Arabidopsis thaliana: one gene and its partner. The protein of the gene in region 1 interacts with the protein of each later gene in a biochemical or structural test. Each region holds a gene or a part of one and is shown in the gene's direction. Other genes may lie near its edges.

What was found. The genes of interacting proteins can lie anywhere in the genome.
Region 2: the proteins of TRP1 (region 1) and TRFL1 form a complex in vitro, tested with the Arabidopsis thaliana proteins (one study listed by BioGRID).

The regions. Positions count from the first base shown.
Region 1 is NC_003076.8:5,955,096-5,960,706, forward strand, and holds TRP1 (tryptophan biosynthesis 1), read left to right. Parts: upstream 1-1,984; 5' UTR 1,985-2,234; coding exon 2,235-2,452; intron 2,453-2,562; coding exon 2,563-2,674; intron 2,675-3,026; coding exon 3,027-3,170; intron 3,171-3,282; coding exon 3,283-3,444; intron 3,445-3,558; coding exon 3,559-3,831; intron 3,832-3,914; coding exon 3,915-4,005; intron 4,006-4,083; coding exon 4,084-4,143; intron 4,144-4,232; coding exon 4,233-4,351; intron 4,352-4,430; coding exon 4,431-4,586; 3' UTR 4,587-4,975; downstream 4,976-5,611. Other genes in the region: AT5G17980 (C2 calcium/lipid-binding plant phosphoribosyltransferase family protein), read left to right, coding at 1-1,650; VDD (VERDANDI), read right to left, coding at 4,976-5,212, 5,303-5,598.
Region 2 is NC_003074.8:17,150,865-17,156,745, forward strand, and holds TRFL1 (TRF-like 1), read left to right. Parts: upstream 1-1,595; 5' UTR 1,596-2,219; intron 2,220-2,710; 5' UTR 2,711-2,777; coding exon 2,778-2,858; intron 2,859-2,882; exon of another isoform or gene 2,883-2,952; coding exon 2,953-3,517; intron 3,518-3,584; coding exon 3,585-3,728; intron 3,729-3,814; coding exon 3,815-3,877; intron 3,878-3,966; coding exon 3,967-4,046; intron 4,047-4,129; coding exon 4,130-4,326; coding exon of another isoform or gene 4,327-4,390; exon of another isoform or gene 4,391-4,413; coding exon 4,414-4,707; intron 4,708-4,774; coding exon 4,775-4,838; intron 4,839-4,908; coding exon 4,909-5,082; 3' UTR 5,083-5,376; downstream 5,377-5,881. UniProt on the Arabidopsis thaliana protein: Binds specifically to the plant telomeric double-stranded DNA sequences. At least 2 repeats of telomeric sequences are required for binding. Induces DNA bending.

The DNA.
Region 1 (5,611 bases):
TCATTTCAGTTAAAAGCTCAGTTAGGTTCCCAAGTTCAGAAAACCAAATCCGCCGTTACTCGTAACGGAGCTCCGTCATGGAACGAAGATCTACTCTTCGTAGCCGCCGAACCTTTCTCCGATCAGCTTGTTTTCACGTTGGAGTATCGAACATCGAAAGGACCAGTCACCGTCGGAATGGCTCGCGTGCCACTCAGCGCAATCGAGAGACGCGTCGACGATCGCTTGGTTGCTTCGAGATGGTTAGGATTGGAAGATCCAAACGACGAGAAGAGAGGAAACAGATCTAGAGTTCACATTAGGCTTTGCTTCGACGGAGGTTATCACGTGATGGACGAGGCGGCGCACGTGTGCAGTGATTACCGACCTACGGCGAGGCAGTTATGGAAACCAGCGGTGGGAATCGTCGAGCTCGGTATAATCGGTTGCAAAAATCTATTACCGATGAAGACGGTTAACGGAAAAGGATCAACGGACGCGTACACGGTGGCGAAATACGGTTCTAAATGGGTCCGTACCCGAACCGTGTCGGATTCTTTAGATCCGAAATGGAACGAACAGTACACGTGGAAAGTATACGATCCGTGTACGGTTTTGACTATAGGAGTCTTCGATAGCTGGGGAGTATACGAAGTCGACGGTGGAAAAGAAGCCACGCGTCAAGATCTAAGAATTGGAAAAGTACGTATACGTATATCGACGCTGGAGACTGGTAAAGCGTATAGAAATACGTATCCGTTACTGATGTTAGTTAACGGCGGCGTTAAAAAATTGGGAGAGATAGAATTGGCCGTTAGATTCGTGAGAACAGCTCCACCGTTGGATTTCTTACACGTGTATACTCAACCGTTATTGCCTTTGATGCATCACATTAAACCGTTGAGTTTGTTTCAAGAAGATATGTTGAGGAACACTGCAGTGAAGATCTTGGCCGCACATTTGTCACGATCTGAGCCGCCTTTAAGGCCGGAGATAGTACGGTATATGCTCGACGCCGATACTCATACTTTCAGTATGCGTAAAGTCAGAGCAAATTGGCTTCGGATAGTGAATGTAGTCGCCGGAATGGTCGACGTGGTGCGGTGGGTTGATGACACCCGTTTCTGGAAGAATCCGACATCAACTTTACTAGTTCACGCACTTGTCGTGATGCTGATTTGGTTCCCGGATCTTATCGTACCGACATTAGCGTTTTACTTGTTCGTGATTGGTGCGTGGAATTATAGGTTCAGGTCACGTGCTGCTCTACCACATTTCGATCCAAGACTCTCGTTAGCTGATGCAGCTGATAGAGACGAGCTCGACGAGGAGTTTGACGTCGTACCGAGCAACCGACCACCGGAGATGGTTCGGTTGAGGTACGATAAGCTACGAAACGTCGGAGCTAGAGTTCAAACGATTCTTGGTGAAGTGGCTGCGCAAGGGGAGAAGATGCAAGCTTTGGTGACGTGGCGTGACCCACGAGCGACTGGTATATTCGTGGGGCTGTGTTTCTTTGTGGCGTTGGTGTTGTATCTTGTGCCGACGAAGATGGTGGCTATGGCGTCAGGGTTTTATTACTTCCGGCATCCTATTTTCCGTGATCGGAAACCTTCTCCGGTGTTAAATTTCTTCCGGCGACTACCATCATTATCTGATCGGCTCATGTAATATTGTTTTTTTTTTTGGAGGGGATGTATATATAGTTTGGGTCGTTTAACCTTGTTGGGCCTTATTGGGTTATAATGGGCCACTAAATGGATTTTTATATGATTTCCTATTATAGGTGCTGTGTTTGACCATGTCTAAAACAAAGAAGTGTTTGGTATGACAAAATTGATGAACCTACTTTTTGAGCAGAGTGGTAAATGTGCGGAAATAAGCACACAAGGAAATCGTTGTTGGTGACTAACAAAAGGAGTTATCCACTGCCCAAGCATTACCAACTACCACCAACCAAACTCAATTTGGAAATTTCAAAGGTCCATTAGTCAAAGCAGCATTAAGTCATTCAGTAATCAACAAATATATTCATATGAAACCCAAAATAAAATAAAATAAACACTTTTCAAGAAAAAAATAAAATACTGAGTACTAAACTGGAAACCCTTTATAAGCAAAAAGACCAAAAGTTAAAAGTTAATTAAGATTTGGTTTAAGGCGCTTTGCTTTATTAGAGAGGAAGGAACGAACCATCATAGAAATCTCTCCTTCGTTCAAGTTTTTCTCTACTGTGTTGGTTGAGCAATCGAGTGATGGTTATTGCGGTGGCGACGACGAGCTCCATTGTTTCCGGAATCAAGCTTTCAGGGATCTTAACTTCGTTCAACGCCGTAGATGATGCGTCCAGTAGTTGCGGAAGAAGCAACTTGACCGGAGTTAGAATTTTTCCGACATTGAGTCGGCGACGATTCTCATCGATCGGAGCTGTTTCCCCAATTCGTGGGGATGCTCAATCTTCCTTTAGTCGCAGGTAAAGCCTCGATTTTTGGGTTTAGGTGTCTGCTTATTAGAGTAAAAACACATCCTTTGAAATTGTTTGTGGTCATTTGATTGTGCTCTTGATCCATTGAATTGCTGCAGCTCTTTCGCTTGCTCTCAGAATCTCGGTTTGAGCGGTGGATTTAGTGCAGCTGAAGCTCTGCCACCTGCTTGTGCAAATGCTAGCCCTTCTTCCATTAAATCTTTCAACCAGGTGACTCTTCATTTCTATTTTCAGGATAAGTTTGTGGTTTGATGATCCCTTGTTTCTAAGTCTCTTGATTTGTGAACAATTCAGGGTTTTTATATATCTGTATCTGTATTTCTGAGTTGGGTTGAGTTATTGGCTTCATGCTGACTAAACATGTTTGGCCCTGTGTGTTCTTCGAATTTCATTTTAATTGCTTGATGGGTTTTATTGACTTGAGTAAAAGTGTACTACTTTATAGGTTTTAAAAGAGTTTTACTTTTGGTGATTTTCCAATGGCTTTGAAGAGAGAGATTTAAATCATGGGGTTACTATGTTCTCATACTGCGTTTGCTCTGTTCTGTTGTTTTTCTTTCAGTTGATTGAAACCTTGATTGATCGGGTTGATCTATCTGAAACTGAGGCTGAATCATCTCTTGAGTTTTTGCTGAATGAGGCAAACGAGGCGCTGATCAGTGCCTTTCTAGTTCTTCTGAGAGCTAAAGGAGAGACATACGAAGAGGTAAGTATCCATTAAGTCAATCTAGGCTTATAATAAAAAAGTATACATAATCCTATATTACTGCACTTCAATAAGTTAACTCAACGTTCACTTTAATTCGGATATTGGGTAGATTGTGGGGTTAGCTAGGGCAATGATGAAGCATGCCAGGAAAGTGGAAGGATTAGTTGATGCTGTGGACATAGTTGGAACAGGTGGTGATGGAGCAAACACAGTCAATATATCAACTGGATCTTCAATACTTGCTGCAGCTTGTGGTGCAAAAGTAGCAAAGGTATAACGAATGAGAAAATCCTTAAAAGAAACGATATATTTAAATTTTGACTATCTGCATTAATGCTAAATGATCTTCGTCTGGTCGTCTAACTAATGGATACTTATTTTGCAGCAAGGGAATCGTTCAAGTTCTTCTGCTTGTGGAAGTGCTGATGTACTAGAGGCACTAGGAGTGGTTCTGGACTTGGGACCAGAGGGCATTAAAAGATGTGTTGAAGAAGGGGGGATCGGTTTTATGATGTCACCAATGTATCATCCAGCTATGAAGATCGTTGGTCCTGTTCGGAAAAAGCTTAAAATTAAAACTGTTTTTAACATATTGGGACCTATGCTTAATCCTGCTAGAGTTTCTTATGCTGTCGTTGGTGTATACCACAAAGATCTGGTACATTTACTTATTGCTGAAATTAGTTTGTTCATCAACAAAAACAAGACATTTACTTACCATTTGCTTGTGTGGTTTCATAGGTTGTTAAGATGGCAAAGGCACTGCAACGATTTGGAATGAAAAGAGCACTGGTGGTTCATTCATGTGGTCTAGACGAAATGAGTCCGTTAGGTAAGATTATCTCTTCCCAAAATTGATTACTTTTATTATTGAACAATTATTAACCAATCATGGCTTAACGAAAAACAGGAGGAGGACTAGTTTATGATGTAACTCCGGAAAAGATCGAAGAATTCTCATTCGACCCATGTAATGTTTCCTCTAGCTTTTTATCCCTTCTCTAAAATGAATATTGCAGATGCAGCTTAATGAAATTGAAGCTTATTTCTTTTTGACAGTGGACTTTGGTATTCCTCGTTGTACTCTTGAGGATTTGCGAGGTGGAGGTCCAGACTACAATGCGGATGTGCTAAGACGTGTGCTTTCAGGGGAAAGTGGAGCAATTGCGGATTCATTGGTATGTTTTGATTTGCCGATTCAACATTCTCTGAACTTCTGCAATTTGTTCATCCTTTTTTTTCAAAATCTTGTTTCAGATCCTAAACGCAGCTGCAGCTCTTCTGGTTAGCAACCGAGTTCAAACGCTAGCTGAAGGAGTAACCGTGGCACGTGAAGTACAATCGTCTGGGAAAGCTATCAAGACGCTTGATTCTTGGATAAACATCTCAAACTTAGCTCAGAAATCTCAGTGACCAGAAGAGGCTTATGATATTGTTGTATTCAACGGATCACCTTTGCAAGCAATTGTAGATGAAGATGGAGGCAATGTGCCAAAGGAAGAAGCTGGAGTTATTTGTAACTTAAGTTTTCTTTGTCAAACAATAAAGAGAAGAGACCGGAGCGAGCTCTATACACATTCATCATGTAAACACTACAACAATAATCTTTAATAAAATGAATAAATCTGTTTTACTCAAACGGAGTTCAGATTCATCATTGGGATACAAATCAAACCTAAGTAGTAAGTAGAAAAACAAAATTATAAAATTAGTCCTAACATTGAATCACAGACCATAATCTTGTTCCGAAGTTCTTCACTAATTCTGCAACTACACCTAAAATATCATCATCGTCATGGTGTCTATTCTTTGGAGACTTTCACACGCATCTCTGTCGGTTTGATGAGCTTGAACGTACAAACATCTCCGACCAGTAAACCTAACTCCTTGGCCAAACGACTCCATCCACCAGAGAATCTTGATTGTACATCAGTGACCACATATGTAACATCCCATGACTTCTTTCCTCTCGGATAATGAATCTTGAACATCGTTGTCTCAGTTGGCATATGCATATCCACAAATTTCTTTGGGATCCCCTGAATCACAGATTTTCATTAGATTAATACACACTTTTATACATAGCCATTTCGACAGTGTGTCACTGGTCTTGTCTTGCTTAATCTTACCAAGAACAGAAGGTGTGATTTCTTTATGGTGAGCTTGAATTCTGGAATAAGAGATGAAGTACCGGCTTCAGAGTCGTTACTAACAGTTTCCACCTTCTTCTTCTTACTCGTCTTGGATTTTTCGGTTTTATCGGCTTCCTTCTTTCTCAAGTTAAGCTCCTGTTTCTGCGTCAATCTCCCACTTGTAGATTCAGCTGTTTTGTGACAAGGATGGCTCGATTCAGACCAAGACTCTATCTCTTCTTCCTTCTTCACATCTTTGTAGATGCTCTTCCTCTCTTCTCTCTTGTTCCGACCTGTTTGCATCAA
Region 2 (5,881 bases), on another chromosome or scaffold:
TAGCTTTTTAAATATAATAAAGCTCGTATTGACAAAGCTAACGGATAAACCCTTATTATTTTGACTGGTTAATTGTTATCTCAAAGAAAAAGTATTTAACATCCTGACTTTAAATTTAGAAAAGTTCATCGACTATTTGTGATGTCCCTTCAAAAAGATTAAAAAACCATAACAAAAGTTAAATGTTTCTCTGGGTTGTACAAATGTTAGATGTTAACTGGACCAGATCACATATAATATAAGAAAATGAACCTGATTAATTCTCTTTACTGAGCTAAATTTTTTACTGACAAGTCTATCAAATTTTACCATCATACTTAAATCCTCAAAAACACATAAACTATACAGTACTTTTTTCTTATTACGTATTTACTATTCTATGCATGAAATTGCGTAAATGTTTGGTTGTATGCATATTAGAATATTCTTTTTATTTTTCTCTCCAACAGATTTAATATTGAACGGTGGTGTTCGTATGATATAAATTCAAAACCACCCACCTTTTATCCTTTCGAACTTTTTCGAGATAGGATAAGATGACATAATTATTTTATTTGTAATTTAGGAAAAGGGGTAGGCCTTTTTTTTTTTCTTTCAAATTAATGATTGTGGGGCTAAAAAAAATAATTTGTGTCCAACACAGGATATAATATTTTGAAACTTGAACGTAAATGTTGACTTTTGATTTTTTTTTCTTCTCAGCTTTTGTTAAATTTAAACTCGTTCCCTTATCAGATTTATTAAAATGGTGAGTGACGAAAAAAAAAAAAATGGTGAGTGAAACGTTAGAGAAATCGACGTATGAAATGAAATTATGAGAGTGTACAGAGAAATATTTGAACAATACTTAGAGCTGACAACAAATTCAAACACTGAATTAGTTCTTGAAGACAAACTCGCTCTTTGCTATAGTTGAGGAGAAGAATCCCACATACTCAATTATAGATCGAGAACGAATCTTTACGTTTTAGTTTTCTTGTCACATTTACTATGTAAAATGGTTCATATTATTATTAAATTTTCATTTATTTTCAAAATAAATTTTTTACAAATATATATATATTTTAATATGATGTTAAAGGTTTTTGTACATAAATTACCTTTTAATTTTGTTTGGTTTATTTAGAAATCAAAATGTAATTTATTATCTACCTAAAAACACGGTTCTTTCAGTATAAAAATTTACAGAATATAAATCATTAAAAGCAAATAACTAATTAGTATTGTATTAAAAATTAAACACTTATCTAATAATACAAAACTTTTGTTCTAAAACATGAAAACGGAAGAAGTATGTTTCTTTTAAAACTATGAAATTCATATACCATATTCAGTTTTATTTAATATCATTTAATATGAATCGACTACCTCATAATTATACAATATAGCAAACTAGGGACCATCTTATCTTTTACGTGATTCCTAAAACATAAATATTTATGGGAATGTTGCCCAAAAAAAAAAATATATATATATATATATTTATGGGAATTTTATCATTTTCTTCCTATTAAGAAAAACCTCAAAAATAAAAATATTAAAATACAAAAGGAAAACATAAAAGCACAAACGAATATTCCAAATATAAACTAAAAATAATACTCATAAACCCAAAAATACATTTTTCCTTTCCCGAAATTCTTTTTTTTGTTAATATTATTATCATGACAAGACGAAATTTACTCAAAAGGCTACGAACCAAAGCCATGTGATGACTACATCAGTACCACGTGTCAAGATCTAAGGACTTAACGAGTTACGAGTGTGTCGTGGGCCATCGACCATGGAAAAGCAACGAGTCTTTAGGTGAATGTTTTACTTGCTATAACCGGTAACAACGGGTCTGGTAATACCGGTAGCTCCGGTGGTTGGTTGAGTTATATGGCTATGGGGGTTTAAGCAAGAAAGACGTGGTCGTGTTCTTCTTATAAGGGTTTTTGTTTATAATTTGGTAATCGAAAAAGAGAGATTTGATAAAATCCTTTGTGTTGAAGGAAAAAAAAATCATATAGGTAACGTTTGATACAAGTAAAAAAAAAAAATTTCCATCACTTTCTTGGGTAAAAAAAACATGGGTTAGAGGAAAAACTGGGGAAAAGATTTTAGATTAAGTGCGTAAAGAATTCTGATTCCTTCGTCTCCGATCTCTCATTTTTCTGGAGAAATTGTCAAAAATTTCAGATATCTATATTGTCTTGGAACTGAAGATTCATCGAAAGGTGAGAAAGATTTAAACTTTTTTTGATGGTTTTTGTGTTCTCGATTTTGTCAAAAGTTTTTGTGTTTGTTTGATCATCGAGAAACTTAGTAAAAATTCATTTTTTATGTGAATTTAGATTTGGAATTTTCAAATTCAAGTTCTTTTGGTTTGGATCTTAAAAGGGTTTTTGTTATCTTTTTGAACTTATCATCATCTTCGATTGAAATTTTTCGTTTTCTTATATGATCAGAATCATCTCATTCATCGATCTGTGAACTCCGATCTGAGAATTTGAAAGTGTCTCTCTTTTTGTTCTAAGTTGATCTGTTTATCCTTTAATTCAAAGATCGAAGCTTTTTTATAATTGAATTACGTTTTGTGTTCTTCAATTCGGATCTTGTGTTTATTAGGGTTTTAGAATGGTTTATCAGATTTGATTTGATATTACCGATCTGTGATTCTTGAATTGAATTGAGTCTTCTTATGGTTCTTGTTTCTTATATACTACAGATTGGTGAGTTTTATTCGCTGCTTATCGCTTGTGGCAATCACATCATCTGTGTTATGCATCCAAGTAATGGTGTCACATAAAGTCTTAGAATTTGGAGATGATGGTTACAAATTACCTGCTCAAGCTCGAGCTCCGAGATCACTCCGGGTAAATGACCCTTTGCTATATTCTCTGTTTAGCTGTTAAAGAATTTATCAGTTACATGAATGATCACTCGCATGTTTGTTCACATTTTTGCTAGAAGAAGCGCATTTACGAAAAGAAGATACCAGGAGATGATAAGATGTGCGCGATTGACTTATTGGCCACCGTAGCTGGAAGCTTGCTTCTCGAGAGCAAAAGTCCGGTAAACGCGTGTCTAGTTGTACAAAATACTGTAAAGAATGAATACCCGGCTGATGAAAACCCCGTAAAGGCGGTTCCTTATTCGGAATCCCCGAGCCTATTTGACAATGGCAAGTGTGGATTTAGCTCTGTGATAACAAATCCTAATCACTTGTTGGTAGGTGACAAAGTAGGAAAGGAGGTGGAGGGTTTTAGTAGTTTGGGTGTGAGTGGTGATGTAAAGCCTGATGTTGTAGCTAGTATAGGTAGTAACAGTAGTACCGAGGTGGGAGCATGTGGGAACGGTAGTCCCAACGAGTCTCGGGATGATGTAAATTTGTTTAGTAGAAATGATGATGATGAAAACTTTTCGGGTTACATTCGAACTCGTATGACTAGGCCTGTGCCTCGTATTGGAGACAGAAGAATTAGGAAGATATTGGCATCTAGACATTGGAAAGGAGGTTCGAAGAACAACACAGGTAAAATCGCCTTTTGTTTTAGTTTTGACTATCTTTATTATTGTGATTTGATGTTTGGTATTTGCAGATGCAAAGCCATGGTATTGCTCAAAGAGGAGTTATTACTTGCACCATCATCAGAGGAGTTATCCCATCAAGAAAAGGAAATACTTTGACAGTGTTTACGACTCGAACTCTGATGATTACCGTTTGCAAGGAAAGACTCATAAAGGTCCAAAACTTGTAATCTTCTCATTCTCTTGTTAGTATGTTGTAAGTCTTTGCTGTTGTAACACGGTTTTGCAAATTCATCCGCAGGAAGCAGAACAATATCTTCCATGAAAAGTCGAAATGCGTCCTTTGTGTCAAGGGATCATCATGGTAATTTAATGGAGTCTCAAGTCTCAATCTATCCTTTGTTCGCTTATTGTTTCGTTGAAATATTTTTGTTTTGTTTTGTTACTCTTTAGTGAAGCTGCGGATCAAGTCTTTTAGGGTGCCTGAGCTTTTCGTAGAGATTCCAGAAACTGCTACTGTTGGCTCCTTGAAGGTGTAATAACAAAACCTAGTTGTGCTGAAAATCCTGATCAAGAAGAACTTATATTTGTATTTTTGTAATGTCGGGGTTGTCAGCGGATGGTGATGGAAGCAGTGACCACCATACTGGGTGATGGACTTCGAGTCGGGCTGATGGTTCAAGGAAAGAAAGTCCGAGATGATGGCAAAACTCTTCTTCAGACTGGGATCTCTGAGGAGAACAACCACTTGGATTCTCTTGGTTTCAGCCTTGAACCTAGCTTAGAGACCACCCCTCAACCACTGTTATCCAGGTTCACTCTTCTCTTCACTCTCAGAGATGCCACATCGATAAAAAATCAATCTTTTGCGGCTTAAGGGCCTTGTTTTCTCTCTGCCAGTTATCTGTCAGATCATGCCTGTGATGATGTGACGTTATGCCACGACAATGCGTTGGATTCTAGTCATGAGCCAGAACCATCCCCAGCTGACTCATTTGGGAAACTAGGCACAAGTGATCATTCTAGAGCTTTGATTCCTGTTGCCTCAGCAGCAATGCTGGCTCCTCGGCCTCCTAACCGTAAGTTTAAAAGGACTGAGCAGCAGCTAGCTGCACAACGCAGAATTCGTCGACCTTTCTCAGTTACTGAAGTAGAAGCACTGGTCCAAGCCGTTGAGAAACTCGGAACCGGAAGGTACAAAACAAAGAAATAGCACTTTCTCTTCTTCATGTTGCTGACAAAATGTGTTTGAAAACTACAGGTGGAGAGATGTGAAGGTTCGTGCTTTCGAGGACGCAGACCATCGTACCTATGTTGATCTCAAGGTTAGTTAGTTTTTTAACTAACTCTTAACCTTAATATATACAGTTTGGTATTGAGTCTTTGCCTTTGTAGGATAAGTGGAAGACGCTGGTCCACACGGCAAGGATATCTCCACAACAGCGGAGAGGAGAGCCGGTGCCACAGGAACTTCTGGACCGTGTTTTGAAGGCACACGCTTACTGGTCACAACACCTAATGCATCAACTGCAGACTGAGCCACCATCCACTCAGGTAGAGGCTCTCTAATCTGAACAGGTTCTTGGTCTAAAGAACCTTTGTGTATTATTATGATGATCCATATTGTAAGATTCTGACATAGTTGAAGATCTGGTCTCAGTTCTTCTTTGTTTTTTTTTTTCTTTCTTTCAAATGTAAAGTTTTATAATTGGAAATAAGGTTGGGTTTTTTCTAACAATGTAAAGGATTTGTTGTAAATCTTTGGTGACATTTTTATTCTGTCTATATGATTTATGGCTCGGCCTATCATATCACAACGACAACGAACTGATATATATATACCTCATCCAAACTCTAGGAGTGCTGGAGAATTCAATTGTTGGATAAATTGTTACTCAAGCTGGTCTATGTTTGGTCAGTTTATGGTTCACATGTGTCCTATATTAGGAAAGAATACACAGAAGCTTGTGCTTGTGAGTGGTATGTGTGCTATGGTATTTACCTTAAATACGGGTCGTTCAGAGTAATAAGCTGGTCTCAAAGCCTCTTTTAAAGGCTATAGCCACAAACAAAGGCACAAAATCCTGGATCTCTAACCAGTAAAGAAGTCGATGTTGAACTAAAGTTCGCAAATATTTGCAGATAGCATTGAGTAGGCAAGCTCTTCCCACTTTTTTTTTTTTTTTTTTCACTGAACTGTTGCCTTTCATTGAATATTGGAGTTTGTGAAAAAATTTAAAGCAATTAGCAATAAAATCAAAAGGATATTGAAGTTTACATTTGGACCTGGACGAGATAATAGAGGATAACGTTCAATTTATTAGAAGTTATGATGACTGATATATTTACCGATTTAAAACTAATATAT